4 linked regions of the Rhinolophus ferrumequinum genome follow. The protein of the gene in region 2 interacts with the protein of the main gene of each other region in a pairwise test. Links are inferred from orthologs where the notes say so. Each region holds a gene or a part of one and is shown on either strand. Other genes may lie near its edges.

Evidence for each region.
Region 1: the proteins of PRKN (region 2) and RGS2 interact in binary tests that used the Homo sapiens proteins (3 or more experiments, as listed by UniProt). The link is inferred for Rhinolophus ferrumequinum from reciprocal best matches to the Homo sapiens genes PRKN and RGS2.
Region 3: the proteins of PRKN (region 2) and TOMM70 come close enough for resonance energy transfer, tested with the Homo sapiens proteins (3 studies listed by BioGRID). The link is inferred for Rhinolophus ferrumequinum from reciprocal best matches to the Homo sapiens genes PRKN and TOMM70.
Region 4: the proteins of PRKN (region 2) and SYT11 interact in binary tests that used the Homo sapiens proteins (3 or more experiments, as listed by UniProt). The link is inferred for Rhinolophus ferrumequinum from reciprocal best matches to the Homo sapiens genes PRKN and SYT11.

Annotation. Positions count from the first base shown.
Region 1 is NC_046310.1:5,165,053-5,172,069, forward strand, and holds the start of RGS2 (regulator of G-protein signaling 2), read right to left. Parts: upstream 3,022-7,017; 5' UTR 2,978-3,021; coding exon 2,862-2,977; intron 1,855-2,861; coding exon 1,753-1,854; intron 1,645-1,752; coding exon 1,583-1,644; intron 1,021-1,582; coding exon 854-1,020; intron 574-853; coding exon 379-573; 3' UTR 1-378. UniProt on the Homo sapiens protein: Regulates G protein-coupled receptor signaling cascades. Inhibits signal transduction by increasing the GTPase activity of G protein alpha subunits, thereby driving them into their inactive GDP-bound form.
Region 2 is NC_046286.1:103,102,106-103,109,285, reverse strand, and holds the start of PRKN (E3 ubiquitin-protein ligase parkin), read left to right. Parts: upstream 1-4,171; 5' UTR 4,172-4,317; coding exon 4,318-4,324; intron 4,325-7,180. Other genes in the region: PACRG (parkin coregulated gene protein), read right to left, coding at 3,590-3,745. UniProt on the Homo sapiens protein: Functions within a multiprotein E3 ubiquitin ligase complex, catalyzing the covalent attachment of ubiquitin moieties onto substrate proteins. Substrates include SYT11 and VDAC1.
Region 3 is NC_046285.1:29,616,683-29,624,391, forward strand, and holds the start of TOMM70 (mitochondrial import receptor subunit TOM70), read right to left. Parts: upstream 3,002-7,709; 5' UTR 2,567-3,001; coding exon 2,237-2,566; intron 1-2,236. Other genes in the region: LNP1 (leukemia NUP98 fusion partner 1), read left to right, coding at 3,348-3,416. UniProt on the Homo sapiens protein: Acts as a receptor of the preprotein translocase complex of the outer mitochondrial membrane (TOM complex). Recognizes and mediates the translocation of mitochondrial preproteins from the cytosol into the mitochondria in a chaperone dependent manner.
Region 4 is NC_046305.1:536,880-543,934, reverse strand, and holds the start of SYT11 (synaptotagmin-11), read right to left. Parts: upstream 3,011-7,055; 5' UTR 2,737-3,010; coding exon 2,703-2,736; intron 1-2,702. Other genes in the region: GON4L (GON-4-like protein), read left to right, coding at 6,602-7,055. UniProt on the Homo sapiens protein: Synaptotagmin family member involved in vesicular and membrane trafficking which does not bind Ca(2+). Inhibits clathrin-mediated and bulk endocytosis, functions to ensure precision in vesicle retrieval.

The sequences.
Region 1 (7,017 bases), on a different chromosome or scaffold from region 2:
ATAGACTGATTTGGGGGAAAGATGTACATCCAGCTGCTAAGGCCACATAATCCCAGACCTACTGATGGTAAAAATGCTTTTGGATCGAGAGTATTACACCGTCTGTTTCAGTCTCACATCCCTGCTTTTACGGTGGGAGACACACCATGCTCAGACCACGTTCTCTCTGTGTGCCTGCAGTCATGGAGGCCATCCCGACACATGCTGCTTCTGGACGGCGACGGGCTTCCCTGCTCACTACCCAACTTCGAATCAACAGTTCTGAGTGATGTTTCCCCAGCACCCAGGCTGAACTCAAGGGCAGTCTTTTGGGCAGGTCAGCCTTTCTCCCTTAGGAAAAAATGAAATGTCCTCCACGTTGGGGGTCCTGTGTGCATCTCATGTAGCGTGTGGCTCCGTGGGAATCTGTGGCTTTTTACACAAGTCCTGGTAGAATTCCGACTCCAAGAAACGGGGATAAGAGTTGTTCTCCATCAGGCTGTATACCCTTTTCTGGGCGGTCGTAAAGCAGCCACTTGTAGCCTCTTGTATATTTTGAGCAATTAGAGTTTTGGTTTGAAAGTCTATGTTTATCTGAAATAAAACACAAAAAGTGGTTTATTCTATATTCAGAGTCAGAGATTTAAGACTGTGTATTTAATATTTGCCAACAAAAACTAAAAACTATAATGCATGATTAGCTTCACCAGCCAAGTCATTGAAGAAACTTAATCAACTTAACTGAAAGCTAAGGTAAGAGAAAAAAACACTCCCCCCACTCCCAAGCCCTTTTAGTTTGACTTCAAGTCTTTTGTTTCGCTTTGGAGCTAACAATGTTCAAAACATGCTGAAAATAAGAACTTATTTTTCTTACCTCTTTTGGAGCTTCTTTTTCTATGAAGTCAGTATATATTTTCCTGGCCTTCGAGGACAGCTTTTGGGGTGATTTCGTTTTTTTGAAGTCTTCACAAGCCAGCCAGAATTCAATATTTTCTTCACAGAATTCAGATTTTAAAAAAGCCCTGAATGCAGCAAGACCATCTGAAGGGGGAGAGAGGGAGAAGAAAACATTCAGATTGTGAATGGAATGACCAAATAATCCCTTACATGTTTTCCTATAACTCCCACTCCCTTGCCTCTGTGTTTTCTTATTTAGAGATGATAGTAAATTCCTCGATATCACTCAAACCTGTAATCCTCAGAATTGAGCTCTTTAAAGACTAAGATGCCAGTAGACAAAATGCTTCAGCTGGCACACTGCTACAAAGATATAAATACTTAACTTTGCCATCAGTGGAAATATTCATAGGGGAGCCCTAAATTCTCTGGGAGCTAAGCCTCTTGAAAACCTTGTATGCAATGGAAAAGTTGACTCAATGTTAACCAAGAGCAACCACCACTCTAATTTTTTTTAGGTTAAGTTTTCTTTTCCCCCCTGAACAAAGCATGCACTTCCATGGGTAGACACTGGGGCATAAAGGCGAGTGTCACGATGACTGTCAAGTCAAATGGCATCTGGCAAGCTGCTCTTGTGCAGTGTGCACAGAACCTTTCCAGACTCCAGTGATGCTTGAAAGGGATTAAATTCAAGAAGGTAACTTACATTTACTGGCCAGCAGCTCATCGAAAGCCTCTGACCACAGCTGGGCTTCCTCAGGAGAAGGCCTGCAAGAGAAAGGGTGCACATCAGCTTACTCTTGGAGATCTTCAGAGTTCCCTTTTCCGCTCAACAGCTAGCTCGTCAAATTTGCAAGAACAAGATTTTCAACTTACTTGATGAAGGTTTGCTGTTTGCTTTTCTTGCCGTTTTTGGGCTTTCCAGGAGAGGAGGAATGTTGCAAGAAATAGCTCAAACGGGTCTTCCAATCTTTTAATCTAAAAAGAAAAGGGGGGGAAAAAAAGATTCACTAAGTGGCAACATTTGACATTGCTACAGCAGCTGATGGCATTTTTACCAAAGTCGCCCAGTAAATACAGACAAAACCAAATAAGACAAAACAAGAACTCTTCAAGTCACTCTGACACATTTAACATTTAATCGCTACACTTATGTATTGAACACAATTAGTTTCACCCATTCATCTGCACATAACTACTAGGTTTTATAACTAAGGGAAGGATTACCTGAAATGACTAGCATAGTGTAATGAATTTAGTTTGCATATAGTTCAAAAGGCAGATGCTATTTCTAGCCCGCAAAAGGCAGCAGTTTTTCTGCAACGTTCATTACAATCCGAAGGCATTTCACACTTGGTGAAACGGACAGTGGAGCTGCCTGGAGCCAGTCCGTGCTCACTTCCCTTCAGCCCTTGGAGCTGAGGTTCTGGACCAGCCAGAAGCTGTGTACCAGGAGGGCTGTGTGTGATGGAACCACCCACCTCCTGACTACAACATTCATGTAAGCGCATGATCAATTAAATCATAACATTAAAAGTAAAACGTGGATTTAAAAGGCATATCCGAACGAGCAAAAAAAAATCCCTCCAACCCTGTAGAGCTGTCTGTGGAAACTGATCAGAAGTGAAAATGCAGCGTATGAATGATGGGGACGCCCTTCAGCCCGGGATTCTCTGCTGTCAACTTAAATGCAGGGGGACAAAAACCCAACCGCGATTTTCTCAGCGCATCTACCGCCGCCTCTAGATCAAGAATTTTCTTCAGCTCCTAAACTCTACCCGACATTCCTTCACTCGCGGAAACTACCGACCACACAGATTTAATCTTACTTAGCAAATGAAGCTTTTCTACATTTTTCCCCCTGCAGAGGCGCAGGCTACATTGCTTCCTATTGTTTAAGACGAGTGCCAAAGCCCCGCGTTTGCAGCAAACCCAGAGAGCTAGGTCTGCAAGGGTGGCTGGGGAGAGAAGAACGCCGTACTCACAGCGTCCGCTTCATTTTTTCTCGCTTCTCCTCGCTTTTGGGTCCGCTGCTGGAGCTCTTGTCCATAGATCCGCAGTCGTGCTGGACAGCCAGGAACATGGCACTTTGCATTATCATCCAGCCTCCGGTGCAGCCGCTGGTTGCAGCTGGAGAGGCGCTGCGGTATTTATAGGACGAAGAGGATGGGGGCGTGGCCACACGACGCCGGGCCCGCCCCCCGAGGGCGCCTATTGGGCGGCTGCGGATGGGCCCGGGGGCGGGTCTGCAGCGGCCCTGCAGCGGCCACGGTCCCCGCAGAAAGGTCTGGAAGCCAGGGCGCTGCTGACGTCTGCAGCCCCGGCTTGTGGCGCATTGGGGCGGAATGTGGCGGCCGGCCTGGGCGGTGTGAGGCTGGCAGAGACCATTGGCTTTGAGCAGTCGCCGGCGACCTTGGCCAGGCGTGGAGGCCGGGCGGGGGTGTGGGCCCGCTCCAATCCTGCCATGCTTGCTTGGGCTGACCCCCAAAGGCATCTTGGAACCCTGTTGGAATGCACATTAGGAAAGGAACAGGAGAAAGTGACTGGATTAGACGACAGTGCTCTACTAGCTAGGGGTGCCTTCGTGATCACCACTAGATACGTGACAGTTCGTGCGACTGTATGCTGACTCCTCAGGAATCCTTGGCTGCCTCTCTTTCCAGAACAGAAATCACCCATGTGATGATGAGGTACAGGGAGACACCATGACCTCGGCAGCTGTAATGCACCAGAATCATTCTCGTTTAAGAGGGCAAAGATGCTGGGGTTCCTTGTCACTCATTTGTGGCTGTCTTACGATTTGCTAGAACACCGAAGAACTGGCGAGAGAGCAGGACGAAGAGGAGAGGCTAACAGTGTGCTTGAATACATTTAATTTGTTATTTCTTCAGAAGCCATGTCTGCTGTAGCAGGCTTTGAGTGATTGGACTGGTAAGGCCAAAGAGAGAACCTCACGTACAAAATGCTTGGATTTCAGATTTTCATTAGAATCGAACACGGGGATTTTCAAGTGCATCCCCCCTCAAGCATCTAAGTAGGCAGTAAGCTTAACCGCAAGGTATTGACGAGGCTGCAAATATTCTCCCTACTTTGCCTTAGAACTGTAAAAAGAAAATTGGAACTGGTTTAACAGATTCTTACAGTGAACTGCCCATAGTTGGAGCTCCAAGTTTGAAATGGAGGATAAGATCTGCAATTATTACTGAAGATGAAAGCCATGTACCTTATTTTGAAAAGAAAAATCATTTAGATTTCAGTAATAAATACTTTAAAACATGTTTGTGAAATGTAAAATTGTCATTTTTGTCATGCATATGCTCTTCATCTCTAGAAGAACACTGCTGAATATTTCCTACATCTAGTTTTACTTCGATGTTTCAATGTTTATTAAATATGGGTAATGTGCATACACTTGCTTTTTCTTGACAATAAACGCCTCAATGTATTTTTCACTTGGAACATTGAACAGTATAACTCTAATAATGGAAAGGCCAGGTGTTCTGACAAAGAAGCGGTTAGGAGAGAGAGCTGGGCTGTGTCACGGGCGCCAATTAGAATCTCAGCTTAGATAGTACATGCTAAGTAACCATTGGGACAATCCCATCACAGCCCCTTGAGCCCCAGTTTCTTATTTGTACCAAGAGTAACATATCTTTCTTGCCAACCTCATTATATATCATGTGGCCCTTATGTGAAAAGCCTTTGCAAGTTCTAAAATACTATACAAACGCTTGTTATTAATTCGCCTATGTAAGAAAAAAGAAGTATCTGGAAGCATAGCTACTCAAGGTAGAAAAATCATTAAAGGATTAACTCAAAGAGTTAATTAGTTTATAAATGTATAAGTACTATTAAAAGAGAAAGATAATGTCACAAAGAATTGTAGTTTCCAGCTCATAGATACTTAGTAAATGCTCTCTGGATAATAAGCAATACGGAAAATAAGCGAACTGTTTGACATTTAAACTTTTCAGAAATCTCCAAGTCAGAAAATTCAGTCATCTCAATATACTCACAAATGTAAATATACGTATATGAGTATATGTATACATGGAAGCCACTAGTTTAAATATATTCTAGATGGTTCAGTAAGTGTTTAATATAATGATAATGATTTGGTTTTTCATAAACCATTTCTGATTGACAACTGGTGTTATGTGGCAGAAAATTAATTTTTTTTCCTGAAAATTATGAGGTTGATTGATAAATTTGCATGTAATTTAACATTTCTTTGTCTATGGGCAATTTTAAGAGTTAAGCCAGTCTCCTCTACAGACTAAGAAACATTTTGGTGAAAAGATTGCCATGCTACTGTGTTTTTTAAAGACAAGCAGACCTATATTTAAAGCGAAAACTACAGTGTTTGATGACTTCCCTTTGTTTTTTTTTTTGTTGCAACTGGCTTTTAGGTAAAGGGGATTGCTCAATATCAAAATGACACATATTTTCCATTCTGTGGTGAAGAAAGAAACAATACAATAGGTTGTGAATATTACATAGCAAAACCACAGCTTGAGAGCGGCTTGGTAAACTGACTATATGTTCTCTATGTTGAATCTGTCATGCCCTCTACTGGAGAGGCTCTCTGAACACGTTAGTGATGGATGGAGGTTCTCAGGATAGTTCTTGAACTTTTTGCATTAAAAAAAATAATAATAAAAAAATAAGTTGCAGAAGAAGGCAAATAAAGTAAGACAAGTTTCTGGTCATGCCAAAGGGAGAATATGAAAAGCTAAAGTCTCCCCTGCTGTGATTCTTCCCCTCCCCCTGCATGCTAGCTCTTCTTAATCAAAAATCAGTATTATTAGCTAAAACTGTTTCATACTTACGCTTTAGAAATTTAGAAAACAAGATATATGCTTCATAAAAACCCCACAAAAGGATCATTCTGTGTATTTCTCTGTGCTTTGCTTGTTTTGGTCAGTGATATCTTCGTTCCTAAATTTGTAAGAGCTGTAAACCTATTGCTTACTTCCTAAATCTTAAATTGGTAGTTAGTTTTCAAACAGGAAAAGCAAACAAACAAACAAAAAACCAGGAAATTAAATACCACGTGGCAAAGGGGCTGATGAGTAATTGGAAAAAATGAAGACTGTAAATACCCTAATTGTTGACCACGTTTGAAGAAGTATAACACTTGTCTTGTTTCTCTGTTTTTCTTTTCTCCTTTGCCTTCTTCGTCTTATTGAATTTTAGTTGGTGAAATAGACTTTTAACAGAATGAATGTATACACGATTCTGTATGCCACTCTTCATCCGTGATAGGATCTGAAATTTAAAAATCATAATTACTATCTTTCTTAGAATGTAATTGGCATCCCCAGAAGCTGATAAGAGAAAAAAGGTGAGTGCTTTTGTCAGGAATGAATCAGAGTTTCAACCTAATACCTGACACGTATGATAGAGGAGTTAATAATTTTCCCAGTGTTTGTGTGGTTTATTCCTGGGAGAGCACATCTGTGGTTCTGCCTTAAATTCATCCATAGTGTGGAGTAGGTCACCCTTCAAATGCAGGCAGGGCCACTTCAAGGTCAGAGTCCTGACCTTACTGAAGCATCTGGGTTCTGTTTGAAAACCGACAGCAGGCGCATCACAACTTTTTTGTTTTTCCCCAAATACAAATACTAACATATATTGAAACTCCTGTAATAGGTTTCTGCAGTTACAGGACCATAAGGGTGCAATCTACGCTGGGGAGACTGTGCCCAGCATATGCCAGTGGCTGCTCACCTGCGACAGTAGACTACACAGAATCTCAGGGGTGAGCAGGTAATTAGAAATGCTTTCTTATAAAATAAGTTACCTGGAGGCACATTGCAGGTATAAAACGCAGAAGAGAAGCAAGGAATTTCTTCTGCCTGGGATTTTAGGTTCTGTGCACAGAATTTTGTCAAATCATTACGGTGCCAAATGTCCTGTTGACTCCCTTTTTGGGAATTTTGGGATATTGGCTTCATGATATACAAGATTTCCAAAGGTCTATACATGTATATCACTCACTGAGAGTCTGTCGTTTTTTTTTTTTCTTTTAAGTTTGAAGAAGGGCTGCTTTTCTTCTAGTAAATAAGGAATCTCTTTGCACTGGTATTTCCAGTTTACCTACCATTCCTATGTAGAGAGTACTAATCCATTTTAGACATT
Region 2 (7,180 bases):
CCCTTTATTACAGTAATGAAATGCCTCAGGTTTTAGCTGGACACAGAGCTAACAGTCAGAGACTACATTTCCCAGCCTCTCCGCAACTGGAGGTGGCCATAAGACGAAGTTTTGGCAATGAATGTGAGCGGCAGTGACGAGTACCTTCTGGGACCTCCCTTCAAAGGAAGCTGCTTGGCCTCCATGACTTCCTGCCTCTTCTTGCAGGTTGCTCCTTACCTATTTTTTCCTTTTTTCCTGCATGAAGTAGGTGTTGGAGATTGTGCCCTTTTGGAACTACATAATTTCTTAGGCCTTTTCCTGATAGAGCATGTATAGAGGTCTGGAGTTGCTGCAAGCATCAATATCTCCTAGGCTTTTGCAAAAAGGGGAAAATATGGGCCTATGAATAAATTCTGTCCAGTGGGATGTAAATGAAAGTGGGGTGCAGTGTCTGGGTAATGCCCATAAAAGAAGTTCTCTGCTTTCTCTTTCCTAATTCCTGACAGTAGGGATTTGCCCCAGTGGTGGAAGCCCACTGGGATCCAGGGCACCATCCTATAGGATATGAAGCAAGAACATACATGCGTCCTATGTCCCTGGACCTACCTCATGGGGAAGCAGGGCCAAACCTCCCTAGATTGTGTACAGATTGGGACTTTTATGTGGGCAAAGCAACTTCCATCTTAGTTATTGTTATTTGGTATCTGTTATAGTATCTTAATATGTAATTTATAAATATTGACCATTACCACTGTGTGTTGAATGACTATATGATTGTAAGTATAAAAGTTTCAATATAAGAAAACTAATAATTATTATTTTTCCCATTCAGCTGAGCTTTGAGCACAAAACATCTATGGTCTATTGAAAAAGAAAAGAGTAATATAAAGATTAAATTGAAGTCAGCTTCTGTATCATAACCTTGGGTCCATATCCTAACTTGTTTATTCATAAAGTAGATTAATTAGCCTAGCACGCATTTGCTGTCTGTGGAGACGAGGCCAGTACAACATTGAGCTACCGGTCTCTAGATATGGGCTGTAGCACACCACAAACAAGGCCTTTCAAGGGAGAATGAATGGTGAAATCATCAAATTCTGTATCTCATATCACTCTTTTCAGGCAAACATTATAACAATATGAATTTGGATGTTATTCTCTGACTGCAGAACTTTTGTCCTTGCTTGTTTTCATATAGAATGCAACAACAATTTCAAGGAAGTAAAGGAACTACTTGAAGAGCAACAGTTGACATTGGGATTTAAAACACTAGCCATTTACATTTATTATTATTTTAGAAATAATTTTGCATTGCCGTACATAAATTATGCCTCTAAAGAAGGATTTCTGCTTGCACAGCTCATATGATTGAATCTGTTTATGATCAAGTTTGTGTACTTATATTACTAGAGCTCTAGCAAAGAAACAACAGGAGTCTCCACATAACACCTTAAGGTATAGTTCTCTATGTCTTTTGTGGAAGAGCACTGGAATGCTGACTTATTTAACAGGCAAGTGTTTGGAAGAGGAAACTGAAGGCAAGACCCAACACTAGAAAAACGGTTTGGGAGTTGGCTTTTGGAACAAGGGGTTGTAATTAAGAAAAGGGAGAAATCAGCATATTGTTTTCTGAATCAAAATAAACCTCAAAAACGACAGGCATTTTGACTTATAATGCCAAAAGGTCTAAACTGCTGCAGACAGAAGCGGTGAAATATAAATACTGGACAGGAAAAGAAAAGGGTTTTATTTCCTATACCATTGAAGTTAGTTTGTATAAAAGGTATTGTCTATCTTTCTTTTATCAAGATTTTCTTGTTGTTGGTAGTTTTTCCTGGGAGTAGTAAGGACAGGGGCTTTGTTTTGCTGATGCCAAATCCCCAGAACTGTGTTTAACTAGTTCTTAGCTTAAAAAGAAAAATGAGTTGTTGATTGAATGAATGAATGGATGAATAATGTTTGCATCTAAAAATTATTATTTCCACTAAATGAAGTGAAAGAATTATCCATCCTATTTTGAAGATTTCAACAGAGAATATTACACTACATAGATATTACACTATGAAATTTTCCCTAAAAAATATGAAAACAAGATAATTTATCTCAAGTAAGTTGTTTATAAAGAAGGCTGCTTCATGTTAAGCAGATTTTTTTTAATCTTGTAAGCATAGTTATTACATTTGGCAATACTGAAATATTTGATTTTCCAGAACTATGACTTTAGTGTAAAGCTATGTTTAAAAACATGATTATGAACAGAGGTTTATAAAAAGAAAGAATCTAACTAATATTTTTTACGTCTGTGAAAAACATATAACATTGAAAAGTCACTAAGATTTTAATCATAAATATTATGCAGAAGAAAACAAATAATTAGCTTGAACGGTTATGGTATTCTGTATTGCTGATAGTCATCTTTGAAATACATGCAAAATGACTGCAGGTACAACAAGCAGGAACTTTAGTCTATTTCCGATAATTTTAACTACTGTGAAGCAACTCACACACATTCCATAACCAGAACATCACTTTGTGTAGCAACCTGGAAATCTGGCCTAGGGGTCCTGAGGTAATCTGTTCCATTCATGTATTCTAAAGATGTGGTTTAGGAATAAGATATTAGGTTTGCAACATTTATGTAAAACAAATAATGTGACACTGGAAAGCAATAGTATTCATTTAACATAATGAGTTGCTATGCAATATGTTAGAGCCTCCCAGAGTGTAGATTATACAAATTTGAAAGCTGCATTTATTATTTATATCTCTTTCCCAGATAGGTGCTTACTCAGTAGTAAAACCAGGTTTAGCATACCAAATTTAAAGCTGTTCAGCAGATCCAAGGACTTTTTTTTTAACCTACCACACATGTAGCTAAACCATTTGTGTACATTTTAAACCTTTTTTTCCTTAGTAGTACTGAGAATATTTTAACTACCACAAATAATAGAAATGAAATATGCATTGTATTAATAGCCAGAGATACTGAACTAAAGCTTGCATTTAAAAAAAAAATATTATTTAAAAGGTCTGTCTGGAAAAACACTTCATATTAAGTTGCCTTGCAGTATTCCAACAGGCTGACACCATTTTGTCAGAAAGAATTGTCTTAGGGTAAATGTTAGGATATCCTGATATCTCCTCAGTTGAATTGATGAGGTTTTTTACTATAGATTATCTAACGAGTTTATGTTCCCAGCTGTACGTAAGCACATGTCAAATTTTGCGAAAGAGTTTAAGATTGCTAATGACTCACCTTCCATCAGGCCCTTTGCTGAGTAGGGCTAGTTTAGGAATCAGTAAGTAAAGTAAAGGGGGTCTTTTTGCATCATAAATAGCTTAAGAGTAATTTGGGGTGGTCTAGAAACCATGAGTTATTAGGAAAGTGCTTATAACGGGCATATCACTTGCTCCGAACCCTTTCTAACAACCTAGCCTGGACCTCCACACAATGTTGGGCACTGTCTGCCACGGGCCAAGTAATGGCGCTTTTTGGCAAAGCCCACCCAGGGCACGGGCTCAGAATCCATGCTAGGGCCGGCCAACCTCTATAACCTGGTGTCACCTGATTCGGAGCGAGGGCATTCAATTCAGGAAGATCACTTACGACCGAGTTTTTCATCATGGCTTTGACTGTGAAGCCCTCAGAAAGCAGGGAGTGAGGCTGGTGCACCGGGAGCGACTGTTGTGCCAGCAGCTTGGTCCTCTTCGGCATCTTGTCTGGGCATTTGTTTAAGCTCAGGGTCTCTTTTTCTGCCACCATCTTCCTAGAAAATGTCTGGTTCTCATAAAAACGTGTGGTAAAAGAATCAGTGGGTTTTACGGATGTGAGAAGGAGGTCGGGAAAAAATTGTAAAAAATTACGTTAATGGTAAAAATTCAACCCCTCGTAGTGCCCAGGTTGATCCAGGTGTTTGGCAGCTCCTAGGTGAAGGGAGTTGAAGGGAGGGGAGGGGCGGGAAGAGGGCTGGACCTTGGCTGGGGCTACAACCAGCTTCCAAAGCTAAATTTCCTGGTTACTAAGCGACGCGTCAACACTGAGGCCGAATGGCCGCACCCCGCCGTGACGAAAGTTTTCTGGGCCTTAAACCGGAAGAGCGGCGGGCGGCTGGCCGCCGGCGGCGAGCCGAGAGAGGAAAAGCTGTGTTAAAACTACAACTCCCAGAAGGCTCGGGGCTGCGCGCCGTCTGCGCGTGCGTTCCAGCTGCCAGACTCGGGGAGGGGAGTCCTGGATATTTTAACCTCCGAGAGAGAGCCGCGGGTGGGAGGCGCGCGCGGGCGACAGTATGCGCGTAGGCCCTTTCCAGCCCAGCAGTCTCCATCTGCCCAGTGACCATGATCGGTACGTGGTGCATGTCAGGTACAGCCTCTCTGCGCCGCCATGCGCCCAGCTGTGGTGCCACTCCAGGCCTCGGACAACGGGGATCCCTGGGTGCCCACCGGTGCCAACTGTCAGTGGCAGGGTGGCAGTGTCTGTGCTGTTCTCAGCCAGCGCCGCCAGCTTCCCAATGCCCGCCGTCGTCCAGCAGAATAAGTGTGTCTGTCGTTCTAAGCCCCGACTCCGCCCCTGGTTTGACAGGCTTCCTAGTGAAGACAACTTTGTGAGGGAACCTGGTGTGCGCCTGCGCGCCTCCCTAAGTGAAGGCAGGGTCGCGCGATCCCACAGCGAGCGCACTGCCCCCCAGACCCGTGGGGGTCCGTGGGAAGGCCCCGGGGAAGTACTTCCCCCCCCGTCGCTTTCCGTCCCTCGGGGCACCTTGGCGGCTGTCTTCCAGTTTAGGACAGACAGACGTTGTAGTCTGTACCCACTGTCTGTGGGACTCTAAGGGAAACCCTAGCGGAGCGTTAGACTCCAATGGAAAGCACCTGGTGATGATGGTTGGGCTCATCAGAGATGCCTTCAGAAGGATTTAAACTTCTGTTCCCTCGAATTTTTTCTTTTAAATCTCTCATCGGAGGTCTGAGATGAAAGAATAATTAAGAGTAAATAATAACAACAAGTAAACCTTTTTGCATGATGAATTAACGATTCATTATGCAAAATTATTTTTTTCTCGAACACAAAATGACCTAGGTGAAAGCTTTGGAAGTGGCTATTGGAATTGTTTATAAACACTACAATGTACAACATTAGCAAAATTCCTCTATTTCAGGATTGCTAAGCCAATGCTATTTTAAGGGTTATCTCTGAAAATTAGTGGGAATGTTTAGTGTGGTTAGAAAAGTTGCTTCTCAGTGCCCACCATGGTTTATTATTTCCAATAAATTTGGAAATTTATTGTGACAGAGACTTGCTCTAGAATATGTATCGGTTTGATGAGCTTATTTGGAGATCATGCCTGATGCGTACCATTTAACACTTTTGACTACAACAAGTGCTTTCGAAGTCAGATGTCGTCTATCCAGAAAGATGAGAGGTGGATTTTTTTAAATGTGTGATTTCTATGCACTGATAAGCGCTTCTTAAGTCTTTTATTTATTAAATTAGTGTTAACATGTAAAACATTTTACCTACTACTGGGTGAATCACACCAGTTAACGACACTGCCTTTGCAGCGATGATAGAAACCAAAGGATGTTGTCAGGTTTTCTTAATTTTCTAGCGTGGCATGATTTTTTCAAAGTTGCCAAGTTAAGAAAAATGTATACATTTTAATGAATCTTTTGAGTCTTTTTAGGTGACAGTTACACAAGATCCACTTGTAAGCACAAATTTGAATCAAAACCAAGTAGAGGAAATTTTTCAAAATCCTTGCTGTCAGTATTCTACAGAAAAAAAAGTATACCTTATTTTGAAGACAGTTGTGCAAATGTTATTTTAATTCAACTTAACTAGTGCGTGGAAAATTTTAAAAGAAATAAATTTATGGTAAAGCTATATAAAGACAGGGACCTAAGATCTAAAAATCATCACTAAATTCTAAATTGTTATCTAATAAATGGCTCTATAACTATTCGGATGAAATATGCTTAGGTAGTTTTGTTTAGTTTTTACTCGGGATTTCAGAACACAAGTGGGAAGAGTGATCTTTGGATGTGATGATTAGACAGCTCTCAATAACTGGCATTGACATGAAGACTATAAGGTGGATTTTTAAGAATGTTCTTTCTCATACTCCAGCTGTTCTTCATCACGCGGTGCAAGTAAGTGTGTTTTACAGCATAAATAATTAAACCCATGCCCCAGCCTACAAAAAGTACCTTACCCATAACAATCATGAGTACAGTGTGCAATGAATTATTTTATATAACTTGTTGTATTGCCTAAATCTGTCGGTGGGCACATTTTAATAAAAATCTTAATTGTCCGTTTTGGGCCTGGTTATGTTGAATAGTGGTAAAGGTAAGTGAAAATGGAAGCAATTGAAGGGAAGTCTTACAGTGATGGGTTTTCTGTTTCCATGACTAAACTTCGGAGCCCGGAAAGGCATTACAGCTTATACCCAGTGATCAGCTGGAGATCAAATTATATGTAACTATATATTGAGAATTGTTTTTTTTTCCTATTTAAAGACCTGTGCTACTCAGAACTTGCCCCTTTCATGCCTGTGCTCTTTTTAATTGCTATACCTTCTTTAATGCAGATAGTACTCTTCCACTTTATTTAAATCTTGGGTCACTTTTGAGGAAATGAGTTACTTGGTAAAATAGGAGTAAGGTATTGCCTCTTTACCAATAAAATTACCTTCCTTTTCCTTTTTAAAACCCAGATTTCCTTCTTGGCACTGCGACTGTTTCAAAAGCACTTACATTTCTCACTTGGATAATGATTGATATGTTAAATGCCCTGACCCAGACAGCTACAGAAACATAATTTAATTGAAGTCAGTGAAAAATTATGACTTTGTGAGAAGTATGGAGAAGGATTTCAAGATAATATAAAGCAGAATGGAAAAACCTTAAGAAAATTCAACTTAGGAAATATAACTTTTGGCATCTCTGTTAAAAATATATTTCAACCTTTTTAAAAATTAGCAATTTTTGTGTTTAAAAATTAAATTTTAATGGTGATATTTGTGGTATATTCTAAATCTCCTATAGAACTGGACTGGTATTTGAGTAGTATCAGATATTGAAGTGCATCGATATATGTGCAACATTGTTGCTAGTATTGAATTCAACCTCTTACTCTTTAAGAAGATTTTTGATTCATTAAAACAAATAATAATTAGAACATAGTCTCTTCTGTACCTTGTTT
Region 3 (7,709 bases), on a different chromosome or scaffold from region 2:
AAGAGAGAAATCCAGTAGTTTTATTAGTTAATTTTACATAAAGGCAAACATAAGTCAAATGACAAAAACCACTGATCTTCCCATATTATTCACTGATAATGAACCCTAAGCTGACAATATGTCTATTCCTTCACTCCCTTCAAAATTATAGCTATCGTTCAAGTGAAGAAAGAACAATAAGGGCATCAGGATTCTGCCAGTTCTTCCATTAGTTCAAACAAATGCTTCCTTAATTACAAAATCCACTGAGGTTGCCAACTTAAAGGTGCTATTTAAATACAGAGCAATTTCTCCAACTACAGATAATAAACAAATTATATTTAGATAGTCAAATAACAACTCCAACGACTAGACCATAAAAAAAGTCTTTTAGTATTTATTGGTCACAAACAGTTAAAATACAAATTTCCACTAAAAAATTGGCATTCTTATTGTCGCTTTACTAAAAAAAATCACCTAGTAACTCAAAGCAAGATTATAGGTAAAAGCCCACAAATTCCACAAGTACAACACTATGTACAAGTGTTTAACTCTGTTTTATTTTGGGTCAAAAATAAATCATTTTAAAGCAGTTCGAGCACACAAAGAAGTTACTCTTAAGGTCTAATTTTTAATAGCAGTCAGGTGAACTTAAGAATTGTTCTGATAAAACTAGAAAACACATGAAATTTAAAAATCATCAGTGTTGACACAGACAATGCTGAAAAACTGAAAATGGGATTTAAGGAAATCTAAAATCTGCAAGAAAGTTTGCTAAATTCTATCAAATACCAAATGGGTGAGATGGGGTAGTATTTGAAACTTCAATGAAACGTCAAAACCTCGTTTCATGTGTAGAAGCTATCTTTATTTTTGGTGATTGTTATATAACAGAACTTTTATGTGTTTTTCATTCATCTCTTATTCTTCTGTGATTAAAACTAAATTGACAAATGAAATAGGAAATGACCAGAGAATTTCAGACATACGAAAATGACGTAAGACAAGTGATGACTAATTCAAACAATGCCCATGATTACCATTCTCGTTAGCAACTCAGAATCACCATTAGGGCTGAACAGTCTAATCTAGTATTTTAATACTTAGTCTACCGAATGACACTAAGGCCGGAGAGAGAAAATGACTTTCCCAAGGTAACTATTCTGGAGAGCCCAACATAAAGCACACATCTCCTAGTTCGCACAGATCATGTGTTCTTTCACCATAGTGTAATGCATATTTTCTATATCAAAAAAAAAGGGCAATGTTTGTTTTACTCTATTAGAAAAACTATCTGGCTCTCTCATGACTGACCATGACTGACATATAGTATGTACTAAATTATGGTAGTTGGTTCCCACATCAAAATTTCCTTTAAAGCTAATTTGACTACTTAGTAAGAAAACATGTCTTCATTCAGAATAGTATAACGTGGAAATGACTTGCAAATGTATATATAATTAGGAGTTATTTGACCAGTGGTTTCTCTGACCTCTGATTTACTCTGTAACTACCACTGTATAATCCCAGAGGTGGATAAAACCCTCTCTCTCACCCCATCCTACATTGTTAAATGCAGCCTGGCCAATTTCCTGCACAGCTGTTAAGATACCAAAAGGATTTAATAGTTCAACAAAAGCATACAAAGCACTTCACCAGATTCTCCAATGCTTCTCCTAACATCAGAGAATCTGTTTCACCAATGTCAACCTTGGTCATGTCAATTTCCAGGTAAAATGAAAAATGGAACTGAAGATGCTTCTACCCAAAATGTTTAAGCACTCTCACAGATGAAAAAACAAATGCCAATGAACACCATTTTTTACTGTCAACCAAAAACACTTCAAAAAAGGGGAGTGCCTCGTTATTAAAAGGTTATTACCGATTAAGTTCTAGGCCTTGGATATCACCAAAGCAATTCATGTTACCAGGTATTAAGCGTTAACGGAATTTGGCTTCCTTCACTAGTTAATTAAACACAATCATCACTATTTGCAAATGTCCACCGTACCCACAACACTAGGGATAAATGCTGTGTCACTGAGAAAAATATTTTTCTGAAACCAAAAGGAAACTGTCAAAGAAGCCCGCTAGCCTGTGCCCTCCGGCTACTCCATTCCCTATAAAGGTAGCCAGACACGAGTCTCCCTAAACCCACGTGCTGCCGTCTGATGGGAAGCCCCCTGACCGGCACAACCCATCAAGGAAAGGCTGCAATCGCTGGGTTCCACCTCCATGACCCAGCGCTGCTTCTCACCATTTCCAGGTGAGCACCGGGGCCTTCGGGGTGTCCGCTGCCCGGGGCCGGACTGGCCCTGCCCTCCGGGGTCTTCCGCTCACTGTGGCGCTTCTGGCCGCCGGCTTCGCCTCGGCCCCCGGCCTCTCGGCGCCGTCGCTGCCGACTCCACAGGTACATGGCACCCGCGCCCAGCAGCAGGGGCGCCCCGACCGCCAGGGCCAGCTGCCATCGCGGCAGGCCCCCAGCGCCCGGGCCCGCGGTCGCACCTCCGCCGCCGCCCACCCCACTCCCGGAGCCGGGCGCAGCCGCAGCGATCACCGCCGCCTCTATAGGTTTAGAGGCGGCCATGACGGGTGTCCTCCGCCACCGCCTCTCTGCCGGTCGCGGGCGCCACAGTCACCAGGTAGTGCGCGAAGGAAAACCGGAGGAAGGGAAGGCAGTGAGCGAGCGAGCACGCTAGGAAGCAGAGCGTGCGACAGAAAAGGGCCAGAGGTCACCGGAAGCCCGAGGCATGCCGGGCCAGACCTGGCTGCCCTTCTCCTCCCTTCTTAACCGTGGGTGGGAGGAGGAAGAGGAGAAAATCACTTCCGGTTGAGGGACACTTGGGGTCAGGTGGGCGTCCTGGGCAGCCTTTTCAATTTGCTTTCACCCCGCTACGGTTGGTGAGATTAACTTCTGGGGTCTTGGGCCTCCAGTGGTGGCAGATGACGTTCGTTCCCTGGACCTTCAGGAAAGGGCAGAGGGCCTTCCGGTCTAACGAAGCCGAGGAGCTGCGCGTGTACAGCGGGCTTTACGGTGTGCAGGCGACCAGACCGTAGGCTCCACCGCAGCCCTAGGAATAGGCGGGGCTGGCAGAGGAATTGTGAACGTTATTGGCTGGCAGGAGTAGTAGGCGGGACATAGGCCGAACTGCCCAGGTTATTGGTGGAATTTGGATACTCGTTGTCTAGTTACCGCCACGTTGGCGCTTCTTAGAGTCCAGCGGCAGTCAGCTTAGTTCTCTTTCCGCGTGTCTTGCAAACCAGCGGATTGGAAGGACTTTTAAAGATGTGAGAGGAAAGACGTCAAAGCTGAAGATAGCGTGCTGTATCACCAATCTTATCTCTACCATGGCCAAATTTTACTTTGGATGATTTTGAGGATATTGGGGCAACGGCAGATGACAGAAATCAGACTGGATGGAAATCGGCAAATCCAGGTTGGCTGAGCTGAGACGGCTTGAATGTGGTCCCTGCGGCTCCCGGTCTGCACCAATTGCGAAAGCGATGACATCTGTGTGTTGTTACCAGGTTCTCGAATTCAGTGGGTAGAAACGTGAAAGACCCAGAGTTCCCACCTTTCCTTGACGGGTTTGTGTTTTCTACTGGATTCCGCCTGGCACCCCAGCCCACACCACGCTCCCTGGAGCACTCGCCCCCTCCTTCCTCAGTGCTGTGATCCGCCCACGGCCGTGCTTGTTTTACTTCAGATGTCTCAGCCCACTTCCCTCAGCCCTCAGATAGAAAGTTCAATCCACAGCTATTCGGTTGGTGCAAAAGGAATTGGTTAAAAGGTTAAAAGTTGCAAAAACCGCAATTACCTTTGCTCCAACCTAATATTACATATCTAATAGCTTTGTCACTAGGCCTTTTAAAATAGGAAAGTTTCCTTTGCCAAGAATTGTTTAAAATTCATAGTATTTTAAAGAAGAAAAGACAAGTATTAATAGAGAATCAAAATTTAGGACTATGGCTCCCATTTCAGGTCTGCAGACCCTTCTATTAAAAATGTACAAGTGGGGCCGGCCCGGTGGCTCAGGCGGTTGGAGCTCCATGCTCCTAGCTCAGAGGGCTGTTGGTTCGATTCCCACATGGGCCTGTGGGCTCTCAACCACAAGGTTGCCAGTTCGGTTCTTTGGGTTCCCCAAGGGATGGTGGGCGGTGCCCTCTGCAACTAGGATTGAACATGGCACCCTGAGCTGAGGGGTCACTGAGCTCCCGAATGGCTCAGTTGGTTGGAGCGCGTCCTCTCAACCACAAGGTTGCTGGTTCGACTCCCTCAGGGGATGGTGGGTTTTGCCCCCTGCAACTAGCAACGGCGACTGGACCTGGAGCTGAGCTGCGCCCTCCACAACTAAGACTGAAAGGACAACAACTTGACTTGGAAAAAAGGCCTGGAAGTACACACTGTTCCCCTTCCCCAATAAAGTCCTGTTCCCCTTCCCCAATAAAATCTTTAAAAAAAAAAAAAAAAAGAGTTTGCTTTAAAAAAAAATGTACAAGTGATCATTTACCTTTGGGATACATCGAAGGATTTTCAACATCACGGTAGCACTACATAAAAGATAATAAGTGGCAAAAAAATAGATGGGTTAAATTAGAATGGCGTAATTTGAAAGTTTCAGGATCATTGCTTTTCTCTTGCTTATGTAAGTTCCTATCAGTAAATTGCTTTCAGGCAACAGGGTTCCTTAGCAACAGACTGAAGAGATGAGCTGAAAATGTTAGAAATAGAATTGAATTGATCAAACAGTAATGATTGCAGGCAGTGCCGGCTTTGGCTGCACATATACTAATTGTTGCAGGCAAATGGCTTCTCTCCTGTCCTGATTCCCAACCCCCCAAAGCAAGTCTTCTGCCTGGGCATGTATTTTCTACCTTGCCTTTCAGAACAGAGTTAACATTTTTCTTTCCTGAAATTGCCATTCTTTTCTGCAGCCTCATAGGGGATTGTAGAATGCTAGTAATTACAAACTGTTGGTGGGAAGTAAAACATTTAAAGTTTTTGAAAAAACTTATTTATTGGAAGAGATAACAGATTGTTATGGTTACAATCCAAAAGTTGTAGAGTCCTTCTCCAACCCCTATTTCCCAGCCATCCAGTTCCCCTCTCCAAAGGAAATCAGTGTTAGAGTTTCCGTTTGTTGAACTAACTAATATTTAACTAAAGGGTTGGATTTTATTAAGATCGGCACCAGTAAATGAATTCTTTCTTGTTACTTTTATATTATACTTTGTTAAATATTCCATTTCCATTCCTGAGCCTATTAATTTCTTTTCTCCCATTTTCTCTATCATTTCCTAAATGATTATATAGTATAGAACTGAGTAAGAATGTCACTAGCTTTGTCACTAGACCTTCCCCCCCCATTCTCCTGCCTTCCCACCCCCCACTCCGATTCAAGCCATTGTTTCTCAGTCTAGTTGTGTAGGACACAGCTCCCTGGCCCATGCTGGTATTATGAGCCTTGCGCTCCCCCCGGCTGAGGCAGTCGGTCGCTGATCGGTGGTTGGCCGCTCACAGCAGCCAGCTGCCGGCCCCTCATGATGGCTGCCAGACACTCAGGGCAGCGCACAGCAGCCCGTGCAGCCTGTGGCAGTTCATGGCAGTTCACACTGACCTTGGGCTGCTCACAGCGGCAGCCTAGCTCCAGGGAGAGCCGTTGTTCACAATCTTAGCTGTAGAGGGCGCAGCTCACTGGCCCACGTGGGAATAGAACCTGCGACCTCAGCGTTAGGAGCACAGCGCTCCAACCACCTGAGCCAGCAGGCAGGCCCTAGACCTTTCTGAACTGGTGCATAAATTTCTAAGCTGTCAAGTAGCGAAAACACACACCTCTCAGGTTATATTCAAGATTTAGTTCAATAATATTTAAGGTCTTTTTAGTGTAATGTTTGTTATAAAATAGTAGACAATGCTTAGTTCTTTTTTTCCCTAAATTTTATAGAAGTTAGAAAATTATGTCTCCATCCTAAAAAATCAAAGTTTTGTATATGTGAACATAGACATTTCCTTTTTTTGGTTTTGTTTTGTTGTTGTTTTGTTTTTTGCCAAATGAATGGAACTCAATAGAAGAAGCTTTTTTCATCTCTTCTCTGGTCTGTATCTTAGGAGGCAGTTGAGTGAGGTGAAATGTCTAACCGAGACATGCAGACCTGAGTTCTTAAATTTTAATACCACTGAGCTTTGTGACTATGGGCACCTCTGCTTTCTATAGAATGTGACCAATGGATTAAATGCTTGCTAAAGCTCCTTATAGCTTTAAAATTGTGATTCTATCCCCTCAATTGTTTGTCACTGCTACAGGAAAGGTTTTCCGAAAGTTGGTGGATAGCTGGTTGATTGGTATCTAAGTCTTTCAGTGAGTCCACAGACATGCTTATATTAAGCTCGTACATACACAACTTGATTCTCTTTCAACGCTTCCTTAGGCTTCCATTTCTCTCTGTTTTTCTTTACTGAAAAATTACTGGAAAGAGTTGTCTACACCTGTTATCTCTATTTATTTATCACCCATCTTATCCAAAATCTCTTATAATCTAGTTTCTAAGTTTATTACTAATCTGAAATGGCTTTCAAGGTCATTAAATTTATTGTTTGTTTTGGCCTTCATATGCTTTCATTGAAGAACTTGATATTTCTCATTCACTCCTTGAAACGTTTTCCCTGGCTTCAGGAGACTAAATTTTCCTGGTTGTTCTCTCTGACCAATCTCTAGATAAATGCTGTCCAGTAGAACTCTCTGTGATGTAGGAAAGGCTTTATATCTGTGATGTCCAATATGGTAGCCACTAGGAACATATAGCTATTGATAGCTGGTGTGACTGACTAAATTTTTCATTTTAATTTAAATTGATTTAAGTAGCTTCGTGTGGCTAGTGGCTACCATATTGGACAGCACAGCTCTAGATCTGCAAATATAGGAATCCTTAAGAATTTGTCCTCTTTGTCTTCAGTCTCTCCATTAATAACCAAATTGCTTCAAGGACAATTTCTTCATTGCTTCAAGGACAATTTCATTGCTTCAAGGACAATTTCTCTGAAGATAATCTCTATCTACACATCTGGAATGCCATCTCTTTCACCTCTAGCCCTATAATTCCCTACTGCTTACTGAGCAACTTTGCCTGGATGCCTCATTTTAAAAAATGTGACTCATCTTCCTTTCTCATTGTTTTCCTTTGTGTAATCCCTTTTCTTTCCTCTCATGATACCACTGTTACCTTACTGGTTGCCAATAATTGAAACCTTCCATCTTTTTGGACGTTTCTCTTTTCCAACCCTACCCACCCAAGCACATGTGGATATACCAAAATATACATATGTAAACACGAAATCAGCTGTGAAGTCTTGCTGATTCTTTGTAGTATCTTTTTAAATATTTTTCTTCCTTTTCATGACCCCTGTCACTTCCCAGTTCAAATATGTGAAACATTTAAGAGTATGTTTAATACATAACAGGTGCTCAATAAATAGGAGTTTTTTCCCCTTCTCTTTTCCGTTTGTTTCATCTTTCCTGAATGCTGAATTAGCTTCCTAGCCTCTGGTGCCTCTCTTCTATGTATAGTTCTGCTCCTTGATACCAGGTTACTCTTCCCAAAGCACAACTCCAATTTCATTCTCAAGCTCAAAGACTTTTAGGCCCCGTCCAATTCCTATCAGGTTAGATGTCTCTGTCCCCCCCCACCCCATCTCTTCTTATATGTTTTGTCTCCTTGGTCTACATTCTAAG
Region 4 (7,055 bases), on a different chromosome or scaffold from region 2:
CAGGGACTTTCCTGAAAATTGTTTGCTACTGATTCATGAAACTGAACATTGGTTATCTCCATGAGAAGAGGAAAGCAGGGGACTACCAAGACAGGTATATTTTTGAGACTTATTCGAAAGGGAGCTCCAAAGGGCCAGGTTGGGAGATAATCTGCGTGACCCTTTTGGCTCTACCATAAATTTACTCTGTGATCTTGAGAGAACCCACTGCTGCTTCCCCGGCCTCAACTTTTAGTATTAGAAAATGGAGGTGGGGTGGGTAAGAGAGAACATGAAGGATTCTCACCTGTCATTGGTCAGAGAAGGAAAAGGAGAGAAACGGACAGATCCATGTACTGATCACCCCAGAGCTCGCCCCCACCCCACCTTATTTCCCACCTTTGCCCCACTTTCTTCTGTATTTGAGTGTTGAGATAAGCCCTGTCTATCTCCCCCATACTCAAGGCAGTGAAGAAGAAGAATCAGGGATGCTGAAACTCAGAACCCTTTGTCTTGCTTTCGTCAAAAGCTCGGTGGGAAAAAGAACTTGGACCTAATGGCTGAAATGTGTTTCAAAGTAGTTGTAAATTGCAGTGACGGGGGCTGCTTGCTCCTTTTGTCCTCCACGGTCATGGAAAATGGAGTGTTGGCTTGGTGTAGCTCCCAAGGGCTATGGCATTTGAAATGAAGTACTCTGGGACACTTGAAAAAGTCAGAAGTGGAAGTTCTCTATGTGGGAGACCCTCTGTACAGGTCAAAAGACCTGCACGACACATCGGGACTATGCCCAACTCAGTCAGCTTCTGATCTGACCCGTTATTGACACTCCCTTTATTAAAACAGCCTTTTCCTGTCAAGGTGGCCGGTGTGATACAGTGAAATGAGAATGATCTTTGCCATCAACTGGATATTGGTTTAAATCCTACCATCACCTCACTAGTTTCTTCGACTTTATTGTATCTCCCTGAGCCTCAGTTTCCTCATCTGGCAAATATATATAATACCAACACCAGAGGCTATTTGTAAGGATCTAATGAAATGTAGTATGTAAAAGGCTGATATAATTTCTTTTCTCTTTTCCACTAATATTCCCTCTACAGGAAATCATTACATTAAATTCACACCATTCACTTTCCAAGGAACTTGGGACTGCAATTAGAGAAGAAATATGTTGGCAAGAAGGCATAAGAAGAAAAGGAAAGAGCAGAAAGAAAATCATGGAGGGCTGTGCGACCGCAAAAGGGACATGTTTTGGAAATTTGGGACTGAAAGAGGAACGAAGCAAAAGGTGAAGGGGAAGAAACACCATAAAGATTCAGCCTTGGGAGTCCGTGGGACGAGTACTTAGAGGTGTGATCTGTTGTCTGCAGACTCTCCCTGACGCCATGTCCTCTCCTGTATTCTCTGGATATTGAGGGAGTTTTGCACAGAGTTCTGCTCATTTCCACGGACCCCTTACTGGGCAGTGAGAAAGCCATTTGCTGGTGGGACTGTGGCCCCACCCTAACCTTCCAGATTGTCTGAGGGTTAGGATCTCTTAGGGGTATGAAGGAACCCTAGGCTGACAGCACTCAGACTGGCTTCTACCACCCGAACTGGGGTCGAACTGACGGAGAAGCTGGGTAATTCTTTTTCGTTTTTGCACCGGGAGAGGACAGCACAGGAAGTTTGTTGCCCTAGCCTATTTTGGGGGAATCTCCAAAGGGGGAAAAACTTGCTTCTCGAGCTTTTCTTTCCCATCGTCCCCCTATTTTCCACTCTACTCTGCTCCAGGGAATGTAACGGATCTTGGAGCCCATCGGGCTGGGTCGGGGACCAGCGGCGCCGAGATGACGTAATGCTTTCTCTGGTACACAAAGCGGCCTCCCCCGGGCTCGGCCTCTCTCGCCCCTCCCCCTCGGGCCTGGATCGGGCCCCTGCCAGCGCCAGCGCGGGTGAGTCCCCCTTTTTGAAAAGCCAGCAAGCCAGCCCAGGGAAACAGGGAACAAAGGCCCGGGAGGAAGCGCCTAGGCGCTGCCAGGAGGCCCAGAAATAGACATCACGTCATCCCCCAGCCCAACAGCACCAAGCGCCATTTGGAGGCATCGGACGGACCCACCATTACGGTGCAGAATACAACTTGCAGTGCTCACGTTTCCTCCCAGCTCCAGCATCCGGCTGACCGGCTTAAGGAGTGGCTTCCTTTCTGCTCCCCACCCCCGCACCTCTCTCCCCAGAGGCCGCCGCCTCCCCTGGCTGCTAGCCACACAACCCCCAGTATCCAAGCTGCCATCTTGATGCCCCATCCCCCTTGCCACCTCCCTCCCCCGCATCCCTGAGGAGTAGGAGAGGGAGGAAGGGGCACCGCCCTGCGTGCCCCAAGGGGGAGGGCTCGGCCTACCCCACCTCTCCTCCCCCAGAGGGAGGGGTTCACGTCTTCCCGAAGCTCGCTGTTTTTCACCTCCAGCAATGCCGATGGTGCACCACGCAAGGTTTTCGCATCGTGGACCTCCCACCCTCTGTGTGGCTCTGGCCTTCCCAGCCCTGCAGCCCACAGCTCAAGTTCAGGCGCTGTCCACTGCCCGCTACTCACCAACACAGGCCCGATTCTAGCGGGGATGGCTTTTGAAGGCCCTGGTCTGGGCTCCATTCCCTGTCCAGCTGCTGGGCTCTCCTGGCTTTGCAACGGTGTCGACTACCCCAGGCTTAGTTTACCTCTTAAGATGCTGAAGGGCTGTACTTACCAAAGCTAGGTCGGATATTGGTGATCTCAGCCATGTCGTAATCACAGGTTATCGCTAGAAAAATGCTTTTGCAGCGGTCAGACAAACTCTGGGAACCCCCGGTCAGTACGGAAGCGGCCGCTGTAGACTGCTAGGTCAGGGGAGGGGGAAGGTATCAGGCAGACGCCTCCTGCGACGGTCTGGTCCCTGGTTGCCAGCTGCGGTCTCCTCTTAAGATGCTCCAGGGATGCTCTGAGCTAAGGATGCAGGTGCAGGCAGACTGGTCCTGATGCGAGGTAGGCCCCGCCTTCTTCCGAACGGCCCTCGGCAGGAGACTCCGCCTCTGTCCGAAAAGTTCCGGAAGGCAAGGCCCGCCCCTTTCCGGAAGATCCCCGGGAGGGGACCCCTCCCATCGCCGAGATTGCCTAAGAATGAGACTCCGCCCACTGACAGGCTGTGGGTCTATAAGGAGAAAACCCTGAGGCCTGAGTAAGAAGTGTAGGTACATTATCATATGAGGTTCTATAGATCCTGTGATTCCAGTTCCCTGGGCTTAATATAGCAGCAGAATGTTCTGGGTGCCTAGGATTTTGGAATAACAAAATTCAATGCTGCTTGCATTTCAGTATCCATTGCCATTACTGTTATGCATTTCTGAGACCACTAAAGGTTATAGGAAGCTTTCTTAAACTTAAGAAACTCTAATTAAAGACCAAACCTTGTGGTGGACACACAACTCTAAAAATTTACCTGTAATAATTTAATTCTATAAGTAAAACGGATGGATTTTGTGGTGTGGTGTGTACATTAAAGCTGTTTTTATAAAAAGACTAAGGAAGAGTGCCAAAGTTAGTGTTGGATATGTCTCTTCCAAAAGTTTCAGGAGCTTAGGGCTGCTTAGGAGGGAGGGGAGAAGAAAGGGGGGGGGTGACGGGTCGGGGGGAAGAGCAAACCAACAGATCTGTATTCTGTAGGTTCAAAAGCAGGACTCAAATGAAACTCCAAGCTTCCAGAGACTGTCTTGGCATTTGGGAGAGTAAGGGTGGTGCAGGTAGAGTCAGACAACTGGCAGGTTGTCCATGGTTCCATCAAATCACTCTTCATTTTGACTGTGGATACTTTTCATCCTGTCGGATTCTGTTTACAGACAGGATGGGGTCAAACAGAGTTTTAAATGGATAAATATCTATTGGTGGTTCATCTGTAAAATGAGAGAGTTGACTATTTTTCCAGCGTTGACATTCTGTCCTAGAAGAGCGGAAAGAACGCGGTTCTAGGAGTCATTTATTCGTTCAAAACACAGGTGTTGAATTATTGAACATCAACTATGCCCCAGGCACATTCCCAGGTACCAGAACGATGCATGAGAAGAAGCTAGTTAGGATACCTGATTCCCCTTGATAGCTGTGTATAGCTGTGTGAAATCACCTTCCCACCTGAGCTAGAAGTTTGTCTTGTGTAAATTGGAAGGTTTAATAATATCCATTGTCCCATTGGGTTTATTGTGAAGATCAAATCACCTATGATAATGTAAGTGAAAGCATTTTGTAAAATGCAGAGTATTATACAGATATGAATGATTACTATGGATTGAGTCCGAGACAGCTTTATTCAGGAAACTGCACTGCTTGTAACCCAGGGATTCCTCTTTCTGAAATTTTATGAATTCTCCACTTCCTTGGTCCCGTATTCCAGGTGTCGCGCCGCGAGAAGGATTAGTTGTCTAACTAAACCACTGAATCTCAACCCCCAGTTTTGTTTTGAGTAGGATCGCTCCATGGACCGAGAAAGCGAAGCGTTGCCTTTAAATTTCTTTTTGCCAGCAACTGACGCGCTAGTCTTTCGGCTTCATTCCGCCCTTACATAGGATGGCGCCTCGTGGTCTGCGCATGCTCCTCGACGACCTGACGCCGCGCACCGCGACTCGGGGTCGCGCACGTAAGTCGCTGCCGTTGGCTGACTTCCGGTGGTGCCGACACCGAGTTTCCGCGGGATCAGGCCGGCTGGTGAGCTCACTGGGTCTTGTGCTGTGGGGCGGGAAGATGCAGTGGGAGCTGGACGTTCCGGCGAAGCGTGGCCGGGCTGAGGGCGTCCGGGTCTGAGGGCTGGGGCGGGGTCGGGGCTGAGGGCAGGCGCGGGTCTGGCGCCGGGTGCGTGGTAGAAGGTAGTGTTGTGAGGGTGTTTTGCTGGGAGTGGGGACTTGGGCCAGGGCTCTCCGCTTAGGTCGACAGCGCAGTTAGGGTCCCTTTTTGAAATCTTTTTCCAGGAGGGGCCCGCCCTGGGCTGCGTCTGGATTCGCATTCATTCACTGTTGGTCTGACTCGTGTCCGAAGCGGGGGAGGGGCGTGGGGGGGGGCGCTGTTTAGAGCTAGTGCTGTGTTTTCAGTGCCTGGAGCCCAGACCTGTGCGCTGCTGACTGGATGGTGGCTGCCTCCTTTCTTCCCCTTCTCCCCTTTCTCCCTCCTTTTCTGGACCTCAGTAATTCATCTGTGAAACATAGGACTCGCCTAAGCTACTCCCTTCCCCACTCACCACCCTCCCTTACAGGGATCAGCGGAACCTTCACGTGTTTACTGAGCTTTAAATATCAAGATAAGGGCGTTGTTGATGGGGGTTTGGGGGGAGATCTTTCCTAGTGTCCTGGGGAAACTGAGTTAGGGAGGTTCAAGACTAACCTTATAGTTCAGACTCTTCGCCGTTAGAAAGAACTTGGTTTGGCAGCCCTCTGGTCCATGTTTTCATCTGGTGCCCTGATAGATGGGCGTTCAGACTTTCATTGAACATTGTCAGTGATGAAGACTCACTGTAATACACGGCAGCTTATTCTATTCTTGGACCTATTTCATCAAGGAAAGATTTTTTGGGGGGTAGAAAGATGCAGTTAGTTTCCACATAATGCTTAACTCTTGCTCTAAATGTTGCATAGGAATAAGCACTGAATAGGAAATTCATGCCCTCTTTTCATTCATTTATTCAGGGAATGTTCATTGAGCATCTACTATAGGGCAGATACTGCTGAGTAGTAGTACTGGTTGAAAGAGTCGTTCTCTTGAAAAAGTGCATAGTTTTGGGGAGAGAGGAGATGGGAAGAAGACAAGAAGCAAATCACAAAAGTGATATGTGCCATCAAAGAGATTTGCGAACAGGTGCTATGATAACGTAAAAGAAGATACTCTCCAGTTTAGGTTAGCGTTGCCTTCAAAATGTGATCGTTGGAATTGAGGGCGAGAGTCCAGAAGTAACACTAGAGAGAACAGTAGGAATCTCTCTTGCTTTCAATATGAAATTTCTGTTAACATGGCCTAACCTCTTCAAACAGCCACACTTTGCTTTTGGATTGTTTCTGTTAATGGAACTACCCCTTTATGGAAACAACAACAGAAGACATTTATTGATCGAATCATTTACTATCTCATGATGTAAGTGCTGTTTTTATTTTATAGCTGAAGAAAGTGAGCTTCAGGTTAGGAAACTTACACAAGGTCACAAAGCTGGAGAGAAGCTGACTCGGGAAACAAATCCAGACAGTTTGACTCACAGTTTGCTCTCAGGATCATGCTGTTCTATCCTCCTGATGGTAATAATAATAACGAACACGTACTGTGTAATTATAACAGCTCTATGAGGTAGCAACAATTATTTTTTACAGTTGTGGAAACAAGTTTAGAGAGGTGAAGTCCCTTGGCCAAGATAACTTACTGATCAGTGGTAGAGTTAGGATTTCAACTCAGGCCCTCTAACTGCTGTCTCTCAACTCTCCCCTAACGGGAGATTGTGTACTTGGTGTGAAGTCCTGTGTTCATGATTGAGCACGAGTAAGTGAAAAGATGCGTGAGGAAATCCTATTATCGTAATTAAAACGAGGGTGATAAGAAGCTGCTTTTACCCTTTCAGGATGGAACCAAAGTAGGACTTTAAAAATGTTGCCCGGTAAGAAGAGAAGGACTACGGCGACTGAATCCCCACATCACCAGGGCAACCAGGAGGAAGGTGACGTAGCCCCAGAGTCAGCCGTGAAACCAGAATCGGACCAGGTGGAAGACTTGGGGTCCGTGTCTCTGTCCTGGGGTCCAAGTCACGGCAGAGCAGCTGGCCTTGAAGTCCAGTCTGTGCCGGCAGGACATCAGCTGGGTGTGGAGGGTCTGTCTTTGAGTTCTAGGGGACTCAGCCAGGACACAGGTGCACCCGTTCCGGAAGCTGTTGATGCGGCCACCTCTAAGGGACTCACTGTCCCATCCTCGGAGTCTTCCCAGCCCCTTACTACACACATGGGGAAAGAAAACCTCCACGCCACTGGCTCAAGGAGAGGGAAGAAAATGACACTCCGGCCCAAGGCAGTTACCCAAGAAGACAGAGGTGATCGTCCTATGGCGA